3 linked regions of the Rattus norvegicus genome follow. The protein of the gene in region 2 binds, or shares a complex with, the protein of the main gene of each other region. Links are inferred from orthologs where the notes say so. Each region holds a gene or a part of one and is shown on either strand. Other genes may lie near its edges. The genes, in order: Ppie, Xab2 and Prpf19.

Evidence for each region.
Region 1: Xab2 (region 2) and Ppie share a complex: the UniProt entries of both Homo sapiens proteins name them as parts of the XAB2 complex. The link is inferred for Rattus norvegicus from reciprocal best matches to the Homo sapiens genes XAB2 and PPIE.
Region 3: Xab2 (region 2) and Prpf19 share a complex: the UniProt entries of both Homo sapiens proteins name them as parts of the XAB2 complex. The link is inferred for Rattus norvegicus from reciprocal best matches to the Homo sapiens genes XAB2 and PRPF19.

What each region holds. Positions count from the first base shown.
Region 1 is NC_086023.1:140,697,847-140,701,497, forward strand, and holds part of Ppie (peptidyl-prolyl cis-trans isomerase E), read right to left. Parts: intron 2,394-3,651; coding exon 2,312-2,393; intron 1,891-2,311; coding exon 1,790-1,890; intron 1-1,789. UniProt on the Homo sapiens protein: Involved in pre-mRNA splicing as component of the spliceosome. Combines RNA-binding and PPIase activities.
Region 2 is NC_086030.1:6,464,948-6,467,602, forward strand, and holds the end of Xab2 (pre-mRNA-splicing factor SYF1), read right to left. Parts: intron 2,416-2,655; coding exon 2,253-2,415; intron 2,149-2,252; coding exon 1,958-2,148; intron 1,800-1,957; coding exon 1,677-1,799; intron 1,586-1,676; coding exon 1,414-1,585; intron 1,200-1,413; coding exon 1,070-1,199; intron 947-1,069; coding exon 837-946; intron 754-836; coding exon 692-753; 3' UTR 623-691; downstream 1-622. UniProt on the Homo sapiens protein: Involved in pre-mRNA splicing as component of the spliceosome. Involved in transcription-coupled repair (TCR), transcription and pre-mRNA splicing.
Region 3 is NC_086019.1:216,969,489-216,973,139, reverse strand, and holds part of Prpf19 (pre-mRNA-processing factor 19), read right to left. Parts: intron 2,904-3,651; coding exon of another isoform or gene 2,847-2,903; coding exon 2,705-2,846; intron 2,610-2,704; coding exon 2,536-2,609; intron 2,444-2,535; coding exon 2,381-2,443; intron 1,659-2,380; coding exon 1,617-1,658; intron 1,520-1,616; coding exon 1,445-1,519; intron 1,173-1,444; coding exon 1,097-1,172; intron 933-1,096; coding exon 823-932; intron 1-822. UniProt on the Homo sapiens protein: Ubiquitin-protein ligase which is a core component of several complexes mainly involved pre-mRNA splicing and DNA repair. Required for pre-mRNA splicing as component of the spliceosome.

The sequences.
Region 1 (3,651 bases), on a different chromosome or scaffold from region 2:
TGCCATCAAACAGCCTGAACATGGATGCTGACAGTAAGGTCTTGGACCCTGACAGGGCTGTAGGAGGCAGGAACTATGGTCACAATACCCAACTAGACACCCAGTGACAGGAAACCTCACTCAGCACTGTAAAACAGGACCCCTAGCCATGGCAGATCTCTTCACGATCCCCCTCAGACATGCCTGCTCGCCTCCCTTGTCCTGCAACTCGCTGGGTCAGAATACTCACCCCCTCATCGTCAGTGCCTAGGTTGTCATCTACCTTACTACAGCAGCCCAGTACTGCTTTCTTACATGCCTAATTGTCACTGTCACAGGCCACCCTGGAAGCATGGGAAAGCCCTTCTGATGGCGTCCAAATGCTCAAAGCACAAGAGGCTGAGACTTGCTTGTATTTAAGTAGGGGAGACAAAAGCAGAGGAAAGCCGATAGGGAACAAACATCACATTGGTTTTGGCTCAGCTGAGGCACACCGAGGAATCATGCGATGCTCTAACTACTGCTGTTTCCATTGGGACTAGCAATACCACGGCAGCAACAATGCAGCTCTTGCTGTATTGCTTGGGTCTTGAAGGAAGAGATGAGTTAAGACCTGAAGCTACTTTCTTCCTTCAAGTTTATGCAGTTAGATATATATTACATTTACTATATACTGTACACATATACATAGATTTAATGAGCCCTAGCTCATTAAACAGATTACCCAGAAACGGGCAATCAGCACTGGAGTATCCTGTGCAAAAGCAACATTGTGCATGGAAACACAATATTTCACTGAGTGCCGAGTAGGGACTACACGGCAGGGAAGCGGAATGACATTGAAAAGATAGACAAGAGGGACCTGGAAGCCCTTATGCCCTGAGATACATGGCAGGGGAGTGAAAAGCTTGGAGCATGAGGGTGAATGATTGGATCTGTGCTCCAGAAAGATTATTCTACCTTCCTTGGGAAAGGACTGGAAGATCCAAGACTGTAGCCACAAACCACTGAAATCACCCAAACAAAAGGCCAGGTCAGACCCAGATCACATTCGTAACAAGGAAGGCTGTCAAGAAAGCACCCGAGCGTGATGATGCACTGGTTCTACTGCTGTAAAGAAGGGACCAGATGATCCGGGGAACTCCACTGTGAGCGCTACTTTAAGTCCGCATACAGATTCTGGCTTAGATAACTGTGTGGCTAGATAGTAACCAAGATTAAGAGCACAGGAGAGCAGGATAAGGGAGAGCATCCACTCAAGGCAAAATAAACCACAATGAGACTTGCAGCCGGAAACTGAAGTCCAATGTTAGAAACAGAGGCCATCGAAGCTGACAGTACAGCACAGGAGGGCTGCAGACAGCAAGAGTGACGTCATCTGAGAGAGGACAGAAAAGCCACACGCCATTATAAACCTCACAGGGTACACAGAGGAACTGAAGTCCTGCAGCAGTGGTCAGGGAGGTGAGCTGAGAACCAGATGTGCCAGGGCCACACTGCATAGGCAAACCCAGAACACACAGATAAAGGGAAGCAACACTACCTGTCCTGTTACCTCTGCAGGAGTCCAAAATCAAGACAGAGAGCAAGGAGCTAAAGCCCTCAGCATAGGAGGGCTGCCTGGTGGGGTGCGGGGGAGTAGTACAAACACAGCTCCCAAAGCTGCGCCCCTTCACCCCCCGCACCGCCTTCGCTGAGCTCTAAGTGCACCACGTGCCCACCGCACTTTGATAAATGCTCGGTCTGCAAGCCCCCATCACAACCTGAGCACAGAATGCCTTCAGGAGGGAAGCGTCCCTTGCACTCTCACCTCTGGGGCTTCAGCTTTGGGAGGCTCAGGTCCTTCTTCTTCTTTATTCTCCTCAAGAGTCTTCCCAGAAAACTTCTTCAACCAGTCATCATCTGACCAAACTAGACGGAAAAGACACACAAAAGTTAAGAAATTCATACTATTCCTCAACTGCTGGCAGCTGCTTTGATCATCTTTGTCGTCCTCTAGCCCAGAGAAGTTCCCCTGCAGAATCCTCAAGACCAAGTTCCCACTGAGAATCCCTAGAGGACAGGCTCTTAGCAGCACTAACGGAAAAAGCTACGTCAAAGATATAGCTTCTAGGAATGGAGTACCAAGAAAACTTGGAGGACACCAGACAGGGTTCTCTCAGAAGACGACCAATTACTCTGGCTTTGCCACTGTTCACTCATAATATACACCCTCCACAGTGTAAACCACCCTTTTGTCCTCACTCCTGTCTACCAGAAGCCAGCACTGAACATGCACACAAAGAAGGGCAAACCAGAGGACCTGACAAGGACTCTGAGGTGCCCCACTCACCTGGCCTGGAAGAGCCCTCTTTAATTCTCATTGGCTTGGCCAAATTGACACGAATTGTCCGTCCAAAGAGTTCAGATTCATTCTGGAAAGAGTGTAAATCCAGTCGCTTAAACTGTCAGGTTACAAAACTCTGGCAGCAACCAGGTGGTGGTGACAGGCATCTGTAATCCTTGCACTCAGAGGTTGAAGCAGGTAAATCTCTGAGTTCAAGTCTAGCCTGGTTTAGAGTTTGAGGACAGCCAGTGTTATACAGAGAAACCCTGCCTCAAATAAACAAAAAACCAACTCTGGCAGCTTTTCATTTACTCCTGAGACCTGATTAGTGTTTCCTTTTAATCCTGGATCCCTTAGCAATGAAAACTATGTTCTCACCACCAACATTATCAAGGAAGAAAATTACAAGGTACTTCCTCCCTGGAGCTGCTGCAAACCTTTAATACCACCAAAGATCTGCACTACTAAGGTAATTCTGAGCTCAAGGGACTCAAGCAACAGGGTACGTAGACCCCGAGTTCCCCTTTAAAAGCAAGATGGGCTTTGAAATAGTATACATGGAGACTGGGTAGCAGAGAACAATGAATAAAGAACTTCACCAAGATATCAGCACCAGGAAAGGCCACTTAATGTGAACCTTAAGGCAGCAGTGAAAACTCTGTGGCAAAAACTAAAAAAAAAAGGTCTTCTATTAGGATGTTATGATGATACCAGAAAAACATGAAAGTGTAAATTTCTTAGTATTTAGAATCAGTTATGTAGAAAAAAATAAGAAAAAAAAATAGAATCAGTTATGCCAGATTTCTAATGGAAACATGTAACCAGGGATGAATAGTTTTACAGATTTTTTTTCCAGCCAAGTTCTAGACACAGGATGTGACGCCTCTGAATTTCATCTGACACAACAACGCACAGGTGTCTTAGGTCGCACATCTTTAAGAGCGCCGGCATTTCCAAGGATTCTCCCAGCTGTTTCCTTCCGAGTCAATAGTATGGCCTTTGGTTAACTCTTCCTGAATCTCCCCTCTCTATTGTTAACTAATAATAACTAATAACTAATTAACTGATAATAATAATAACAACTAATTGTTATCTAATGATCTAACATTGCACGAAACCTTTCCCCTTTGCATATATTTGCTGTTTCAGTGAGCAATTCAGTTGGGACTGTATTTGCCACTTGCCATCACGTAGGGCGGCCAGTGAAAGACAAGCCAGGAGGATGAGCAGGAAGTACCCTAGTAAATGGAGAGGCGCCTGGGCAGGAACTAATTTTACCAGTGATCGGTCCACAATGGCTACTCTTACTTGATGGCAATCTTTACCTTCCCACCCAACCCTGACAC
Region 2 (2,655 bases):
ACTGCAGCCTTGCTTCCCAGACATAGCCAAATCATATGGAACTCACCTGCTAGAGCCACCCTCCAACATCCCCCAGTGCAAGCCAACAGCCTGTCTCCAACTGCGCCTGCTCACGTGGCAGCCTGTGTGACCGGCTCTACACACAAATCTGATTATGTCCCCTGATGCCAAAGCCCCTTAATGGTCCAGAGGCCACTAATGGCTTCCCAGAGCTTAAGCTGTAAGGGCTCCACCCTGGATGTGGCCTGTGTACCAGGCCTGGTTGTCTGGCCTTTAGCCAGAGACACAAGCACCTTGCTAGTAGGCTCCTGGGGCCTGTTACTACACGGAGGCACATGGGTCTGTGAAGTCCTAGAGCTGTGACTCCCACGTAAGTGAGGCTGGTGCCCCTTGGTTTCGGGCTCAAGGAGGGCAGGCCTGACAAGAGGCCTGGGGTGGGGCTGGGGAACTGGCCCTGCGGCGTCCAGAACTGGCTCTGCAGGGTGAGGGCAGGTTGTCCACACGACACATCCCCTGACTACTCCACCTCCTGTCCCAGCCAATCAGTGCAGAGATCCAGGCAGCTCTAAGCTAGCATGCCCTGAGGCACCTGGGCAGGCGGCAGGAAGGTTGAGACAGTGATGTACAAAGAGGGGTTGTATTAGAGGGAGAGTTATGGGGGAGAGACCATGGAGGGGAAAGTGTGGAGGCTTCAGTCTTCCTTTAGGCTCCCGAACACAGCAGCTGGCACACTCTGCTGTTCCAGTCGGACTTCTGTGGGGGAAAGTAAGGTCAAGGTGGGGGTGGGATGGGGAGGCCCATCTGCTTTAACCCTGGCCCTGGGGCTGGCCACTGACCATTGGGTTCCAGGTCCATCTCGTCCTCGTCCTCGTCCTCGCCCAGCTGGATTTCCTCAGGGTTGGCCTGCTGAGCCAGCTCTGCCAATTCCTCCCTGGATGCATCACTCCTGGGGTTTGGAGAGGGAAGGTGGTGGCTGTCAGCTGCTTCAGTGGACCCCTCCTGCCTCCAGCAGCTTCTCTGGAACACCCCTTTCCTAAGAAGGACTGGTCCACCCCGCTCCTGCCCTCACCTCACAAAGAAGATCTTGCTCTGGGCCCTGGGGGGCTGGTCCCGCTCTGCCTCGGCCGCTAGCTGTTCTGCTCTCTGTTCCAGCAACTTCATGTCATCCATGCCGCTCTGCCCGGGAGCCAGGTCAGACACTGGGGGTGCGGGGCAGGCAGGGAGGGAAGGTCAGCGTCAGACCACAGGCCCTCTGCAAGGCACATCAGACCAGCCCCAGCCATTCTCAGGATTGGTTCCAAATGCTGGCAGAGCTAGGAGGCCTAGGCCGGGCAGTGAGTGCTCCGGGACAGGGCAGACACACTGCTCCGCGTGGCCTAGCCATCATAGGAAGGGAAGGCTACAGAAGCTCACCCGTGCCCGTGGCACTGCCCGACACCTTGAGCATCTGCGAAGCCATGAAGTTGACCTGAGTGTTGTACGTGGCCTGCACACTCCGCCGTATCCTCAGCATCTCCCTGATGGTGTCCTCGTTGCCGTGCCGGACCTCAAAGTCCTTCCACGTTTGCCAGAATGCCCCAGTTGTCTGTGGTGGGATGCAGCACATCAGTGAGCCAGGTGCTTGGTACAGCATCCCCACTGCCCACCCTCCCCCCGCGACACTGGGCACACCCTACCCGGGGATCACAGATCTGGGAGCAGAAGCTGTAGATAGCCCGGGCACGGTCGATCTCGCCGAGCTTGCACTCCATGTCTGCAAACCTCAGGCACATCTCACGGGCATGCTCATCAGACAGCACCTGGCACCATGGGGCAGGGGGAGCAGGGTTAAGGGAAAGGGGTCCCAGTACCTGGCTTCAGGACAGCCTTCTGCCACTCATCCCATGCAGGCAGGCTTTCTGGGATCCTCCTGCCTGCATGGACCCCAACCCCATACCAGGTCACTGGTGGTGGGTACCTCAATGGCCTTCTGGTAGATGCCGCGAGTGTGGGTGACACCGTAGATCTCAGCAGCCCGCTTGATGTAGATGTTAAACATGTCGTACTGCTGGGCTGGCTCCACTGCCCTGGTAGCACGGTCATACACAGCCATGGCATGGCGGGCAAGGCCCCACTCCTCCTCCAGCTGTGCGTAAAGCAGGTATAAAGCTGCCCATGATACAAGGGTCCAGTTAGCAGTGCAGAGCTCAACCGTGCTGCTCATCCCTTCTTATGATGTCCCCATGTCCCAGGACAGCCCGCAGCCTCCTCACTCTTGGCATATTTTGGTGGGCAGCCATCTAGTGCCTGCTCAAAGAGATCCCGTGCACGCTCCAGCTTGCGGCCCCCGTAGCGGGAGATGAATTTGGTCAGGTAGGTGCTCCAGATGTCGGAAACATTGGGCCACTTGAACAGCGAGATGCCACGCTCATATGCCTGTTTCCAAGGAAGCCATGGGTTAGCATCCAGATGCCTTGGCTCATGTCTCCATGAGCTTGCCCAGGACCCCTTCTTTGCCCAGCCCTCCATCATGGCACATGTAAGTATGTCAGTCACTGGTTCCCTCTGCCAACAACAAGGACCTAAGGCAGGGGAGCAGGGACTTTCTGCAGTCTGATACCTCACGGACGAGGTCGCTCCTAAGCTCTACAGACACACTCGTACTCCCGGACAGAA
Region 3 (3,651 bases), on a different chromosome or scaffold from region 2:
CTAAAACTGTAAGCAAGCACCAGTTAAATGCTTTCTTTTATAGGAGTTGCCACGATCATGGTGCCTCTTTACAGCAAGAGAACACTGACAAACATAAATTCCTCTATTTCTCAGTTTCCTTTTTTTTAAATATTATATATGAGTACACTATAGCTGTCTTCAGACACACCAGAAGAGGGCATCAGGGCTGGAGAGGTGGCTCAGAGGTTAAGAGCACTGTCTGCTCTTCCAGAGGTCCTGAGTTCAATTCCCAGCAACCACATGGTGGCTCACAACCATCTATAATCAGGTCTGGTGCCCTCTTCTGGCCTGCAGGAATACATTCAGGCAGAAAGCTGTATGATGTATATATAATAAATAAATAAATCCTTTAAAAAAAAAAAAAAAAAAAAGAGGGCATCAGATTTCATTACAGATGGTTGTGAGCCACCATATGGTTCCTGGGAATTGAACTCAGGACCTCTGGAAGAGCAGTCAGTGCTCTTAACTGCTGAGCCGTCGCTCCAGCCCTACATCTAAGTTTCCTAACGTATGAAGAGAAAGACTACCTGGGAGGCTGCTCAAGTACCTGAGGCAGCAGCATACCAAAGCCACTGTATTCTATGAAACCATTAATCTCATCTAATAAGCTACTTTTATCCTCTAAATCAAGGGTTCTCATCTATTAGAACTCACACGACTTTCAACAGTCTTGGGGGTCAGCATGGGAACATCAATGCCTGTTTCACCAAAACACTAGAGGTTGGGCAATTAGTTCTGAGCCTCAAAACCACTGGATCTGGACTTAGAAATAAGACAAGGGTGACTTCGAGAGTGTCTTACCTGAGAAGGATGAAACACCACACTGGTGACCTTCTTGGTATGGCCTTTGAGAGTGGCCAGGATTTGCTCAGTACTCTTATCAAAGACAACAACGTTTTTATCTGCCCCACCTGAAGAAGATACAAAGAAGACAAAAATGAGGCAGGCCTTAAAGTATCCCTGGGCCACAGAAGGTCTTTCTGTCCTTAAATCCATGCAAAGGACCAAGGGGGGTTATATCTTCCCTGGGTCCTGCCATCCCTCATCTTGGCTGTCAGGCCAGACCTAGACTCACCAGTAAGAATCTTGTTGGTGTCTGAGGGACACAGGTCCAGAGCAAGAATCCCAGGAATGCTAGCACTGTGTAGCCCCTTTGCAGACAGAGCCACATGAAACCCAGTCACAGCCAAATCCAAGCCATACAGGTCCTCCACTCCCCTTCCCCACACCCCTCATTTTCCTCCCCAGTCAGGAAAGAAGAGTGAGTTCTATTCCTTATCCACCCAGCTTGGCTGGCTGCCTGGATGTACCAATTCCCCCCACTGCATGGCAGGACAGAAGAGCAGCCAAGGTGAGACACTCTGCCAGGGACCCAGGTAGCATTTCTCATGACTCCGCAGGCTGGCCACCTTCAGCCACTTACCACATGGGATGCCACCTGCCGGTACTTGCTGAGCTCTTCAGGCTTCACCAGCTCCTCAGGGACAGTTTTTCCTCTCTGAGAAAACAAAAAGCCCCCAAGAGCAGCAATGAAAGCAGGCTTCAACGAGCCCTTTCTCCAAGAAGGTGGGTGTTCCCAGCAGGCAACAACTCACCTTCTTACGCTCCGTGGTTAGTACAGTGGCCTTGTCTTGAAGCTGTGGAGAACATAAATAATTTTGTGACACAAAGCACACTGGGTGCTAGTCACATCTGATACATCACCAAAACACGCCATCTGCCAAACTGTGGGCTAAAAGCTGACACACCTCCACCCCCATCTTATAAGGTGAGGTATCCACAACCTTATGGTATAGCTGAGAAAACTGAACATCAAAAGAACTCCCTTGCCACAGCAGGTGGGACAGGAACCAGGTTGTAGTGCTCTGGGAGCAGGTCTAGGCTACAAACATGAGAGCTCAGATGAGCGCTCACTCCGTTGACCCACAAATGAAGACTACATCCAACAGAACCTAGCTGTAGTCTGAAGTCTGCTCTGCCTCTTCACAGCTGTCTGACTTGCCACCTCAGACTCCTCATCTTAATACAAAGATAACTCTTGCCCTAAGGCAAAATGATCAAAATCTATAACGAAATGACTTAATATCAACAAGGACTGCAAAAACTGCAAGAGCTAAAAACTTCCCTCATAGGTAATTAAATCTTTCCCACAGTAAGCCTACGAAACACACACCCCTCATTCTATTCAGAAGCCAGGGAAATGAGACAAAGGAAGCCAGACTGAAGTAAGTGTCATCAGAAAGCTCTTGATTGGCAGTACAGGCTCCTCTCATTGCCCACTGTGAGAGTCTTACAGGCCCCCAATGCCTACAGTACTAAGGGAGAGACTGCAGTCCCATCAGAAGAACACACAACTTACCTTCTGGATAATCTCAGGGGTCATTCCCACAAGCTCACCCAAATCCATGGGCTCTCCTGCACCCTGTAGAAAAGAAAGGGAGAGTAGGAGGGGCTCACAATACCAAAACTGTCTGTGTAAGGGACAGCTACTGGGGCCTGGAAGGGAACACTTACCACAACACTGGGCTGTGAGCTTGGCACAGCCTGAGGTACAATAAGACCAGCCTGTGGTTTCAGAGTAGCCAGAGCTGAGAGAAAAGATGAGGTTAGAAATGGGACATAACAAAGCAGGGCCAGCAGCAGGGCCAGAAGAGGGTGGGGAGCAGCAGGGAACACCAGAGACCTTCTCGAGCAGCAGTGACCTCCTTGGTGAGCCGGGCAATGACTCGGCAGGCAGCATCGTGCTGGTACAGAGCGTGGGACAGTTCCTGGCGGGTTGTCTGCAGCTGCTGGCGAAGAGTGAAGCTGTGCAGCATGACTGCATCCTGGGAGAGGGTAGGCCACTGTGAGGACTGGGGGAGAGCCGGAGAATTCGGCCAACCCTAGAGAAGAGGACACCACCTCCTATTCTACACTGAAACCAACCTGAGCTACTCAGAGACCCAAGCCAACATCTGAGTGACCCTGAATGCCCTGTACGACATTCAGGCTCCTACCCCATACCACACCCTGGACACACACAGAGTAAGAATTAGCTCCTTCCCACCCCAACCTTTGCAATTCACCAGCAAATCACAGGCATTAATGTCATCACCTCTCTGAAAGGAAATAATTATACTGCTGTGATTATTTACTGGCTATCCTCAGCAAATGCAGAGCCCAGTAATGAAAGAGTCCCTGGTGTCACAAGGCAAATATGTCAACTGCATTCTACTTACAGAATCCAGATAGACAAGACTAATGAGTGTCCTGTAGTCAGGAAGTCAAGTCTTAGAGACTGAGCAGTGTGTCCTAAGTCACAAAGGCTGACAGTGGAGAAAACTTTGGAATCTAGGTCTGCAAGAGTTCCAACAACCGGGCTCCTCTTGTATTGCTATCCTGTTCCTCACAAATGAAATAAGGCCAGCACAAAATGAGGGGGGCTGCTCAGTGGTACAGGGATTACATTAACCCTGTGTTCATCACCCCCAAGAGTCAGGCCTGGTGGTTGGCACTTATAATCCTAGCACTAGAAGGCTGAGGCAAAAGGATCAAAGTTTCAGACTAGTCTAACAAAGCAAAGTCCTATCTCAAGACAGTAAGAGGGCCTGCAGAGAGTTGAGAGCCCGGAAATTAAGAGCACTTGCTGTT